Linked DNA regions of Lonchura striata. The protein of the gene in region 1 interacts with the protein of each later gene in a biochemical or structural test. Links are inferred from orthologs where the notes say so. Each region holds a gene or a part of one and is shown in the gene's direction. Other genes may lie near its edges.

What was found.
Region 2: the proteins of EEA1 (region 1) and RAB31 form a complex in vitro, tested with the Homo sapiens proteins (2 studies listed by BioGRID). The link is inferred for Lonchura striata from reciprocal best matches to the Homo sapiens genes EEA1 and RAB31.
Region 3: the proteins of EEA1 (region 1) and RAB5C form a complex in vitro, tested with the Homo sapiens proteins (2 studies listed by BioGRID and IntAct, with this or other methods). The link is inferred for Lonchura striata from reciprocal best matches to the Homo sapiens genes EEA1 and RAB5C.

Annotation. Positions count from the first base shown.
Region 1 is NC_134607.1:53,448,113-53,451,856, reverse strand, and holds the start of EEA1 (early endosome antigen 1), read left to right. Parts: upstream 1-1,180; 5' UTR 1,181-1,288; coding exon 1,289-1,312; intron 1,313-3,744. UniProt on the Homo sapiens protein: Binds phospholipid vesicles containing phosphatidylinositol 3-phosphate and participates in endosomal trafficking.
Region 2 is NC_134603.1:51,791,917-51,795,660, forward strand, and holds the start of RAB31 (ras-related protein Rab-31), read left to right. Parts: upstream 1-879; 5' UTR 880-947; coding exon 948-986; intron 987-3,744. UniProt on the Homo sapiens protein: The small GTPases Rab are key regulators of intracellular membrane trafficking, from the formation of transport vesicles to their fusion with membranes.
Region 3 is NC_134627.1:6,412,007-6,415,750, forward strand, and holds the start of RAB5C (ras-related protein Rab-5C), read left to right. Parts: upstream 1-1,402; 5' UTR 1,403-1,493; intron 1,494-3,744. Other genes in the region: voltage-gated delayed rectifier potassium channel KCNH4-like, read left to right, coding at 6-82, 168-608. UniProt on the Homo sapiens protein: The small GTPases Rab are key regulators of intracellular membrane trafficking, from the formation of transport vesicles to their fusion with membranes.

The DNA of each region.
Region 1 (3,744 bases):
ATTAATCTACAAACACCAGAGGTTTATGTCCAAAAAGGAGACAGAGGAGTCCTTTAACTTTTTTGAATAAAGGGAGACGTTATGGGGCATTCCCCATGGGGTCTCTCAAACTTTTTGGGAGACGCAGCTCCATTTTATCCTAATTTCCTGGCTGCATTTTCCCTCTCTCTTTCCCCAGTGGCCGAGGTACTTGAGAGGTACAGGCTCCATAAGATGAGAAATATGTAAGACCCCCTTCTAATGTATATTTCCCCTCCCATTTTTCTTTTTCATTGTGTCTTTGATTTTTTTCTCTAAATCCAGAGATTTAGCAGTCTTGAGTGGGTAAGTCTGTGTCAATTAGTGGAATTCCTACGGAATTTATGGTTCCCCTCCTTGCTTCTTTCACATCTCTGTACCTGGCCTTATCTACTATCAGGCCCACAGTTTGTTTGTAAATACTTCCTTATCACTCCTTTCAGCTGATGCTTTTTGTGTTGTACTTTTTTTTTTTTTTTTTTTAGGTATGTGTGTATTTGTGTGAGTAAAATGTTCTTTTCTAATATTTAAAAAACACCTAATGGGTCATACCACAAGGTCGTCTTTTCAGCTGGGGGCTTGAAGCAAGGAGCTGCTTCATCAGAATTAAATTTGAGGTTAATAATCGTAACAAGTTCGCTTCGACAACCCTCCCCGAACGCACATTTCTCAGTACTTTCCGTGCCGCACGAGTAACAGAGTAACACGGCGCTGCATTTGCGCTTTGCCTCCTTCAGCGAGCCCGCAGCTGCAAGCTCAAACCACAGTCCTCTCCCTTCCCTCGGCCGATGCCACACTGACGCCAGCAGCACGGGGCCCGCAGCTATCGGGAGCCCGGGCAGCCCCGAGGGGAGCCAAGGGCACAGACAGCGCCGCGTTCCGCTTTCCCCGCCCTGCCCCCGGCAGCCGGGACGCGTCTGGGGCGGCGGAGACCCGGCACAGCGCAGGGACAGGCCGAGAGCCGCGGCGCTGGGCCCGCTGCGGCGAGGAGCCGGGCCCGGGCCCCCGCGGAGCGATCAGGGCGCAGCCCCCGGCCCGCTCCGCACCTCTACCCGCCCTGCCTTCCCCGCTGCCGGCGGCCGGGCGGCGGCGGTGGCCGCAGCCCCTTCCCGCGGGACCCGCCCCTCCCCGGGGCGGAGCGCGGCGGCTGCCCTGCCTCCCCGGCCGCGGCGGCTGTCACGGGGCGAGGGCCGCGCCGGGCTCCTGCGGGGCCCCGCGGCTTCCCTTCGGCCTGGCCGCGGCCGCCCGACGGCATCCGCGCTCTACCACCATGCTCAGGCGGATTCTGCAGCGGGTAAGGCAGCGAGGCCCGCCCCAGCGGCGAGGGCGGCGAGCCGTGCCGGCGCCGTGCCGGTGTCGCTTCCTGGTGCCGGCCGCGCTCGGAGCTGCGCTCCCCGCGGCAGAGCCGGAGCCACCGGCCCTGTCCGGCCCGTCCTGCGGCGCAGGGTCCGGTGAGGGCCGTCGCGGCCCCGGAGGCCGTGAGTTTGTCCGCCCCCGCCCTCTCGCTGGGAGACGGCCCGAGCCCCGACGGGACGGGACGGGCCAGGCCCGCCATCCCGGCTGGGGGCGGTGTCGCCTCCCGGGCTGGGCGGAGGTGCTGGCGGGCGGCTCCCGCGGCCGGGCCTGTCGGAGGGGCGAGGGGCGGCCCTGGCCGGCGTGGCTTTTTCCGTAACGCGGCGGCATCTCCGCCCGCCGCCTGCTCCCGCTGCCGCGGCTGCGGCCGCCCGCGCAGAGGGCAGGATAAAGGGAAGGCCGGCGTGGGGAGAGCCGCCGCCGGGACCTGCGGTGATGTCCTCAGGGGCTGGCAGGCAGCAGGCTCTTAACGCCGAGAGCCAGCCCGGCAGCCGCCGTCCGGCCGCCTCCCGTGTTTTAGGAACCGGCTTTTCCGGCAGCTCTGCCGGGCTTGGGAAGCCAAGTTGTGACACTCGTTTATGAGACCCTTCTCGCTTGCCCGGATCCCTTTGCCGGTGCTGGTCGCCGTGCGGCGGGCCTGCGGCTCGGGTGGGAGCTGCCGGGAGGCGCTGGCACGGGGCAGGTGCCGGCGGGTCCCGGCTCCGTGCGGCCGGGGGCTCGGCTGGGGGATGCACCCAGAAGGGTTGAGTCACGCCGGCCGTGGGCAGGCAGCGCTCCAGATCCCGTACCGCAGGAGAGCGGCGTCCGTGTCACGCTGGAGGCGTTCACGGATTGAGGGAAAACCAGCTGCTCTCCCCGTTTGATCCGCTGTTGCTTCCAAAGCGTGCTGTCTGTGTAACACCTCTGCGACAGAGTGTTTTATTGGAAACGCTGGCTTACTCTCCTTACCTGCCATGCAGAGAAGCGTTGCTACAAGAATGAGAGGGGAAATAAAGTAAGCCTAACACCAACTTTTTCAGTGTAAAACATACGTCAGATTATCTTTTGTTATAGACCCTAAGCAGGTGAAGATCTTGGTATATTTGGAGCTTTGTGTTTACAAGGAAGAGCTTCCTTCCTGAAGCTTAATGGGAAGCCCTGCTAACAAGCAGGAAACTTAGTACGGACCTAATTAAATATTGGCAGCAGTTAACTGGGTGTTTATTGATTCTGAGAAACACCAGGCCATGAAGGAAGGCTTCTGTGAGAGGAAAAAGCTTCATATAGTGCCAGAGGATATTTGTCCCTAAGTATGAATTCAGCTAAACACATCTTACAGACATCACATCTACAGTCAATGCAAAAGTTTCTGTGTGAGAAAAAGACATATTTTCCAAAAGATTGAACTAATAGTTGTTCTCCAGTTGCTCCTGAAAATTACGAGATTACAGGAGAATTTATTGTCAAGAAAGGTGAAACAGACTTCTTCCTGCCTAAAAATTAAATAGAGAAATGTCAAAATTTTTGAAGGTGTAAACTTTTTAATTGCTGAAAATAACTTTTGCCAAAAATAGACTTTTAAAAATTCACCTGATACTAAAAGGGGTTTTAGGTATTTTTGTAAAAATAGTGATTGCATGCACAACCTCGTACACATGTACCATTTTGACTTGCACTCTGGTTGGCAGACTGTGAAAAATACTTCTGCTGTACTTTGGTATTAAAAATGAACCTTAGGTTTATGTCAGATATTTTACTAAAGAACATAGTCATTAATATCTTTCATGTTTCTCATACAGTATTTGAAGAATAAGGAACTTCCTCTTGACCTTTTTATTGTCCATCATTTGTATAGCTGGCAAAAAACCACTGCCTTTCTGTCCCTCAAACATAGCTTCTTGCATATCTGTTTGGTTTGTTATATGTTTATAGGTGATGCCACCCTTTCTAGCCAGAGAGCTAGGCATTAATGGTGATATAACTTGAGTTATAAAAGCATGTTTTTTGAAAAAGGCATTCTTTGTTACATTATTTACATTCTTTATTACATTTTTTATTACTTTATTAGGCTGGCTGACAAGCTGCAAAGGAGGAAGACAACAGCTAAAGATATTATTTATAGTTTCTGATTCCTGAAGTTTCAAATCATCAAATATTTCTTTTTTATTCTACTTCTCTACCTTGATCACCTCTATTTCATCCACAGTTCAAATTTCTGTTTTTAAAAGCATCTTCACTGTGACTTTGAATGACATATTTTCAAAGTGGAAAGTATTATAATGGAAACATTGCTTGTTTAGTTTTTGAGGTTAGTATCTCCATGCTGTCATCACCTAGCTTCTCATTTTACGTCCTTTCTCTACAAGTTCTGAAGTTTTTTACAAGTTTCTAAAT
Region 2 (3,744 bases), on another chromosome or scaffold:
GGCTACAACCCTACTACTAACCTGAGATTGACTATTTTAGTCCAAATTAGGTGTGTATTACCAGGATTGGGTAAAAAATGGAATTACTATTTTCAATTATTTCTGGACATAGCAGGAAAAGCTTAAAAAAAAAAAAAAAAAAAAAAAGGAAAAATGAAAGAAAAAGGAGATGGATTCAGATGGTTCACAGCCAGAGCAGTCCCCTTCCCGTGCCTAGCCCAGCACATGGTGTGTAGGACTAAGCATATGCGCAGCCCCCTGCAGGATGCCGTCTCTCACAGACTGTTTTTCTCACAACAGCAAATATTTACCCTGCAGTACAAGAAAGACAAGGAGCTCCAGGAGGGGGTCCAGCGAAGGGACACAAAGATTATTAGGGCTCTGGAGCATCTCTCTTATGAGAAGAGACTCTGGGCCTCAGAAGAGACTGAAGGGGATCTCATTAATACATACAAGTATCTCAAAGGCGGGTGCCAAAAGGATGGTGTCAGACTTTTAAGTCGTTCCCGGTGAAAGGATGAGAAGCAATGGCCATAAACTGAAACACAAGAGGTTTCACCTCAACACGAGGAAGAACTTCACACTGAGGGTGGCAGAGCAGTGGAACAAGTTGTCCAGGGAGGTCATGGAGTCTCCCTCTCTGGAGGCATTCAAACCCCACCTGGATGTGTTCCTGCTTCACCTGCTCCAGGTGACCGTGGCTTGGCAGGAGGGCTGGACCAGCTGCTCTCCAGAGCTCCCTTCCATCGCGAACGATGCTGCGCTGTCCCGCTGCCCCGGCCCGGGGCTCAGCGCCGCGCCCGCCCCCGGCCGGTCCGGCGGCGCGGGGCAGCAGCGGGGCGGGGCCGGCGCATGTGACCGGCGGCGGGGCGGCCCCGGCGGGGCTGGGCCGCCTCGGCGGGGCAGTGCGGAGCGGCGGGGATGCGGAGCGGCCGGGCCCCGGGCAGATGATGGCGATACGCGAGCTGAAAGTGTGTCTGCTTGGAGTGAGTAAGGGCGACCGGCGGGTCGCTTGCCCCTTCCTTTCCTTCCTCTCTCGCCTCGCAGGTGGGGGCTGTGGAGCCGGGGTGCTCGCTAAGCCGGGGAACGCTTCCAGCCTCGCTGTCCCGCTTCCCGGGGGACGCCGCGTCTGGCGGTCCCGGGCGGGGCGGGGGGCTCGGCCGCGCAAAATTCCTCCACGCCGAAACTTGGCAGCCGCGCACCGGGCGGGGGGAGGCTTTGGGGCTTCTTGCTTTTGTCTTGTTTCTTTTTAAAAGTGAGCAGGGCGTAGCGGGCTGGGGGAGGCGGTGAGTGGCTCTCTGTCGGGGGGTCCCCCCAGCGCTCCCCAGGCGGGGGTTGCCGGCGCAGAGCCATGCCCCCGAGGGCGGTGGCCCCGCGGAGGTCTCCTTTGGTGCCAGCACCCCGACGGTGCCTGTGGGGGGAAGGGGGCTTGCTGCCCACCCTGGGGGCTCGTCACAGGCGGCGGTGGCCACGGCAAGCCCCGTGCCAGCGGAGGGGAGCTGCCCGGAGACAAGCACGTCCCCGGGACGCCGTGTCGGATGTCGGATGGCTCCTTCTCCCGGTGCTCAGTCCCGTCTCACCGATGTGCTGCTCGGTGCTTTGTTTAGTTCCTTGCCTGGCTTTATTCAGCAGCCCTTCTTTGACTCGACTCCTTACAGGAACGTCCTTTTTGCCATTCCTTTTTTTTTTTTTTTTTTTCCGCTTTTTTGGCGAACTCGCGCGTGCGTTTCACATCTGGAGCAACAATGTGCTTAGCTCTGCACTTTGGCTGTTCCTGCCCTTCTCTGCCCGGCACCGAGGGAGCTTCCCGGCAAAATGTGCCCACTAAGTTGGCACAAACACTGCTGCGGAGCAGAACTGCCTCTCCTGACAGTAACCAGCAGAGCATCACTCCTCCAGTACACAACTTTTTTTTTTAAAGTCAAACATCTCAAAATACCCGGTGCAAGTTCGGCTGCTTTCAGGCCCACATGTCCCCATAAACACTCAGAGAAGCTGCATGAATGAAGGCATTTTAGAGTGAATTTGCTTTCATGCCATCCGAATGAGTTGAAGGTTTGAAAACCAAACACAAGTAGACGTTCCAGTTCTCTCTGATTTGTGTTGACACTTAGCCCAGCAGGAGTGGGTACCTTGCCTTGGAGTAGTTCTTGCCAGGATGCTGTGCCAGGGCACTGGAGAGTTCAACCCAAAGAATTTGGCAGTGACCATTCCTCCTTTCTTGGTTAGAATTCCTGCCTTCAACTTTTAAAATGGCATTGTGACAAAAATAAATGTGGTTTGTACAAACATGAGACGTCTGTGGTAGAATACGTGGATGTCTTGTTTTCTTCTCCAGCAGAAAATGTTGTAATTTTATAGAGATGAAGTGTCTTGTGGTATGAGATTCCTCATGTCCATAATTTATTGATGTTTTGTAACATTAAAACTTACTGGAGGTTTTGTAAGGCAATTTTTTTTTGTTGTTGTTGTTTTTTTGTTTTTTTTTAACACAGGGAAAGAAATCTATAATGCAGCTCTGTGTTACTAGGAGTATGCAATTACTCTGCAGATTCATTAAAATGATGGGGTGGCAGTGGTAGCACTTAGGGAGATGTGTCTGTAGTTATAGTCACTTAGTAATGAGTGAAATATTCCTTCTGTTTTAAGAGGGCATAGTCCTAGAAAACCTTCTACTTCTGATCACAGACATCTCATTTACTGTGGGGATTGATGCTGTTTTCCCAAAAGAGAGGAATCCTTCAGATGAATCCTCTCAACAAGTTTAGACATTTCTAGAGCAGGGAAACTCCATACTTGTCTGTGTGAACAAATGGAGGGATTAGTCTTCTGATCTGCTTGAAAGCTAGATGGCAATTCAAAAATACATTCTCAGATCTGCCAAAAGAAATCTTGACAGTTGTTTTTCTCAGTAGATCCTGGACCTAGTTAATCTGCATTGTATGTCATAGATTCCTTGATAATCAGTCAAGTCTGGCATGTCCTAGTCCCAAGAAAAGTTCTTATCCTTGTTAGAAATATGAATTAAATTGGTTTGTAAGCCCATATCCCTCCCCACTTCTGAACACAGCCCTAGGCTGCACCTCTGAATCAGACAGGAGGATCACTGACAGTTTCTGGCTTCAAGCTGTGCAGAGGACCTGGGCTTGGGCTGTTCCTGCCTATTCAGAATTTCCCAGTGGGAAAAAATTGCAGCCGGTGCAACGTTTGCAAAACCGGCTCCTCCACAAGCTCTGAAGCCCCATTTGGCTATAGAGGGTCTAGATGGGAGGATGATGAAGAGAAATAGAGAAACCAGAGGTGTGGTCCACATTGCCAGCCCTACAGGCCAGTGCAGTACTCCAGGGCCAGTGAGTAGCCTGGAGCCATTGCACTGGAGAGGGGGAGTAGGTTATTGGCTCCTGGATGTAACCCCACATTGCCAGGAAGGAGCCTGGCCTCTACTTTTTAGCATTAACCTAACAAAATGGATTTGGGTGTCTGCATTTCATTTCTTCCTCCTTCAGAGTATCCTGGAGTTTTTAAAACTCTCTGTGGGTGTCATGGGAGTGATTTGGAGCAGCCAGGAGTAGTGCGCTACAAGCTGATGGTTATGGGATTTGTTGCTAGAGAAAGGCAAAGGGGAAATCTGGGGCAGCAGGAGTGGGTAGGAGTGAGTCACTTTGGAAGGAAGGCTTTGTTGATTGCAGAGCTCTGTGAGAAGGGGTGGTTCCAGCTTGCCAGTGGGCTAGCAGGAGCAGGATG
Region 3 (3,744 bases), on another chromosome or scaffold:
AGCAGGGACTGACGCCGGCGGCCCAGCCCTGCTGATGGAGGCGGAGCGGATAAAGCAGAACATCAGCAGGCTCAACCAGGAGGTGCGCTGGGGACCAGAGGTGGGTGTATGTCCCCGCAAAGCCCGGCGACATCGGCCGGTGCTCACTGCTGCCTGTCCTTTTCCAGATCAGCCACCTCAACCGGGAGGTTTCTCACCTCAGCCGGGAGCTGCAGAACATGATGGAGCTGCTCAGGGGCCACCTGGGCGCCCCGCAGCCCCCGGCCTGTCCCTGCCGTCTGCCCGCCACCGTCTCGCCGCCATCCGCTGCCCCGGTGCCCCCCTCGCCCCCGGTGCCCCCCAGCTCGCTCAGCTCCCCCACCGGCAGCCCCCGGGCCAAACGCTGCCCGGTCCGCAGCCGCTCTGCCCACGCCGCCGCCCTGCACCCCTGGCTGGGCGCCGAGGGGCCGCGCCCGCCGCGGGGGGACACCCCCGACCCCCGCCGGGGCTCGGACTCGGAGCCGCCGCCGCTGCCGCCCCGCTCCGCCCGTTCCTTCCCCGGCTGCTCGGCCGGGGCCGGGGGTCGCGCCCGCCCGCAGCCGCGGTCCGGCTCCACCAGCTCCCGCTGACCCCGCGGGCACCGGGGGCGCCTCCCCGGGGCTCTCCGCTCCCGGTCACCCCGCCCGGGGCTCCCCGCTCCGGGTGACCCCGCCCGGGGCTCCGGGCTCCCGGTGACCCCGCTCGGGGCTCCCCGTTCCGGGTGACCCTCCCCGGGGCTCCGGGCTCCCGGTGACCCCGCTCGGGGCTCCCCGCTCCGGGTGATCCCGCCCGGGGCTCCCCGCTCCCGGTGACCCCGCCCGGGGGGGCCGTGCCCCCGGGGCTCCCGGGACGCCGCACCGGGAACACGCGCAGGGATTTTGATACGGTTTTATACTCGTCGCCCACGGCGCCTTTTCTATAGCCCGGCCGGGCTCGGCAGCCCCGCCTGTGCCCAGGGCCGTGGGGCGTGGCGGGGCAGCGCAGCCCCGGGGGACCCGCGGGGGTCTGGCGGGGGAGGATCCGTAGAGCTCTCCGGTGGGGGCTCCGGCTTGCCCGGGGGTCGCGGCCGCTGCCGCCCCTCCGCGGCTGTAGTTCGTGTCGTTCCGCCCCGCCTCTCCCACGCTCCCCGCAACACCGAGAAATAAAGGCTCTATTTTTGCAGCCCCGGCTCCGCTGAGTCTCCGTCCGCCGCCGCCCCGCCCTGTCCGGGCCCCGCCCCGGCTCCCCCATGGGCCCGGTGGCACCGGGACGCATCTGAACTACAACTCCCAGCAGTCCCCGCGGGAGCGCATGACATCACGCACGGCTCAAGGGGCGGGGTGGAGGCGGGGCGGAGCAGGTGATTGGCAGCTGTGACAGCCTATGGCCGGCGGGCGCGGGGCGGAAGGGGTGGTCGGGGCCGGAAGCGGAACGGGTAAAGACGGAAGTGAGGCCCGGGGCCTGCAGACGCACCGGCGGGAGCGGCGCTACGGGCGGTGAGTGCGGCCGCGGCCGCTCCTTGCGCCCCGAATGGCCGAGCCCGCCGGGAGGGTGCGGACCCGTTCCCTCGGCTCTCGCCCGGCCGAGGGCGGCAGCCGGGCCCCGCCGTTTGGGCGGCCCCGTGGCGGGATGCGGCCGGGGCTCGGTGGCGCCGCTGTGCCGGGCGGGGCGATGCCGGGGCTGCACCGCACGGGTGGGGCGGGGGCTTTGGGCGGCCGGGTGCCGTCGCCTCTCGCCGTGCGCCGGCCTAGCGGGGCGCTGCGTGTGGTGCGAGGCGGGGCGGCGGCTGCTCCGGCCTGGCGGCACCGGTGTGTGCCGGGCGGTAACGGGAGCGGAGCCGCGCCGGGCGGGGGCGGCCGCACGGCCCAGGGGACGGTGCCTGGCTCGGGGCAGGCGTCCCGGCGGCGCTGTGGGTGCTCGGGTCAGGCTCCTCCCGGGAGCGGCTCCCGGGACAGCGGAACGAACGCCTGCGGCCGGTACCGCGGGATTGTGCGGCGGCTGTGCCCAGCTCCCGTCTCGCAGCCGCGGCTGACTGCGAGCTGAGTGGCACTGGGGGAGGTGTGGCGCCAGGACTGAAAGGGATTTCACGGTGGGATCGGATTTTGTGCTTGGGCTGCCTCTGAGGTGGGAGTGGAAGCTCCAGGGGTTCCCGGGAGGTGACTGAGACTGGCCGGGGTCGCTGCCGGTGCCAAGCACAGCCCTTGGGAAGGGAAACCCGTGGTGCTGTAGGGCCCTGAGCAAGGCCCACGGGCTGCAGGGACATTCTGTGACTTGTCTGTAAGGGAATCTCGAGCAAGGCCACCCTTGGATCTCTGGCACAGCAGGACAGACCCTGCAGTGTGAGCTGGGGGTGACATCCTGGTGGGATTGCACCAGGAGTGCAGGTGTGAGCGTGAGCAACAGGTTTGCCCTGCTAAATCCTGGGGAGAACTGCTGGCACCTTATTCCTGGTGATGCTCCTGGGGCTGGGCAGGAGCTGGGGGTGCTGCTGGGACCTGCAGGGAGCCCAGCCCAGCTGCCCTGCAGTTGCTGCCCTGGGATGTGGCTGCTGCAGCTCTGACCTTGGCTGTTCCCAGTCCTGTAGGGAAGCTGGAAAGGAGAATATGTCGAGGGACTATTTTAAGTCTGCTGTGGAACAACTTGCATCTGCTATTCTTAGCTTTTTGTGTGGAGGGTCAGCACACTTGAGCTGCCCTGTTTACAGCCTGATGTTGGGCCTGTGCTCTGCTGGGCCTCCCGAGCCACCTCTGAGCCTTGGATGGGGCCAAAAAATCCAGCTCAGTCTGTTGTCTTGACATGCCATGCAGTCTGAGGGAACTTCCTGGAAATACCCACTGCTGCCTTGACTCTGAAAGTCTTTTACGTTTCTTTTCAGCTCACCTGGATAATAAGGTGCAAGATCTATATGTGAAAAGAGTTAAGAATTCTGGATAGTACCTGTAGGCAGCTACAGGACAATGTTGAGGCATTCTTGGGGTGAGGCAAGCAGAGCCTGGCTGGATTTGGGAGGTCAAGGACAGGAATGTTTGGGGTCATACCTGGGTCTCAGTGTTGAAATCACCTCAGACCCCTCATAAGTTACAACAGTTTGCTGGAACAGTCAATACCTTGAGACCAAAAATCTGCTTCTGGGGTGGCCTTTTCTCCCAAGATGCTCTGGCTGATTTAGCTGACATTTGACTGCAGGTTGTGCAGGCAGCACTTAAGTGGGTGCTGATGCCTCTTGAGGTGATGGATCAACCCAGGCAAAGTGAGATGGACTCCTGGAGAGGGTTGAGTTTCTGGAGAGTAGGAGGGAAAGGCTGGCTTGGCATGTGGATATGACTAGAGCAAGCTCAAACACTTACCTGCTTTTGCATTGGTAGAGTACACTTTGCTTTCCTGTGAAACCAGGGATGTGTTGGTGTGGTTTTGGTTTGCCAGTTTGAGATGGCACCAATTTTTACATTTCCCAGCCAACTGGACAGTGTGTAAAGGAGCTGTCTGGTGATGTGTGTGTGCTTGGCCAAACATAATTGTTGTGCTGAGAGGTGGGATTATCTCCACCATAGCCAAGCTCTTCTGCGTCTCAACAGGGATCAGCTCGAGGGGTGCTCTAGGCCTTGCCACTCATCAGCTCTGTCCAAACTTCTTCAGCTGCTGCACAGTTTCGGATGGTGGTCATGGCATCTCCCTGAAGAGGGAGGGGGAAGGAATGCCAAGGGCTTTCAGACACAGGAAATAAAATGGGAACGCTTCTAATGAAGT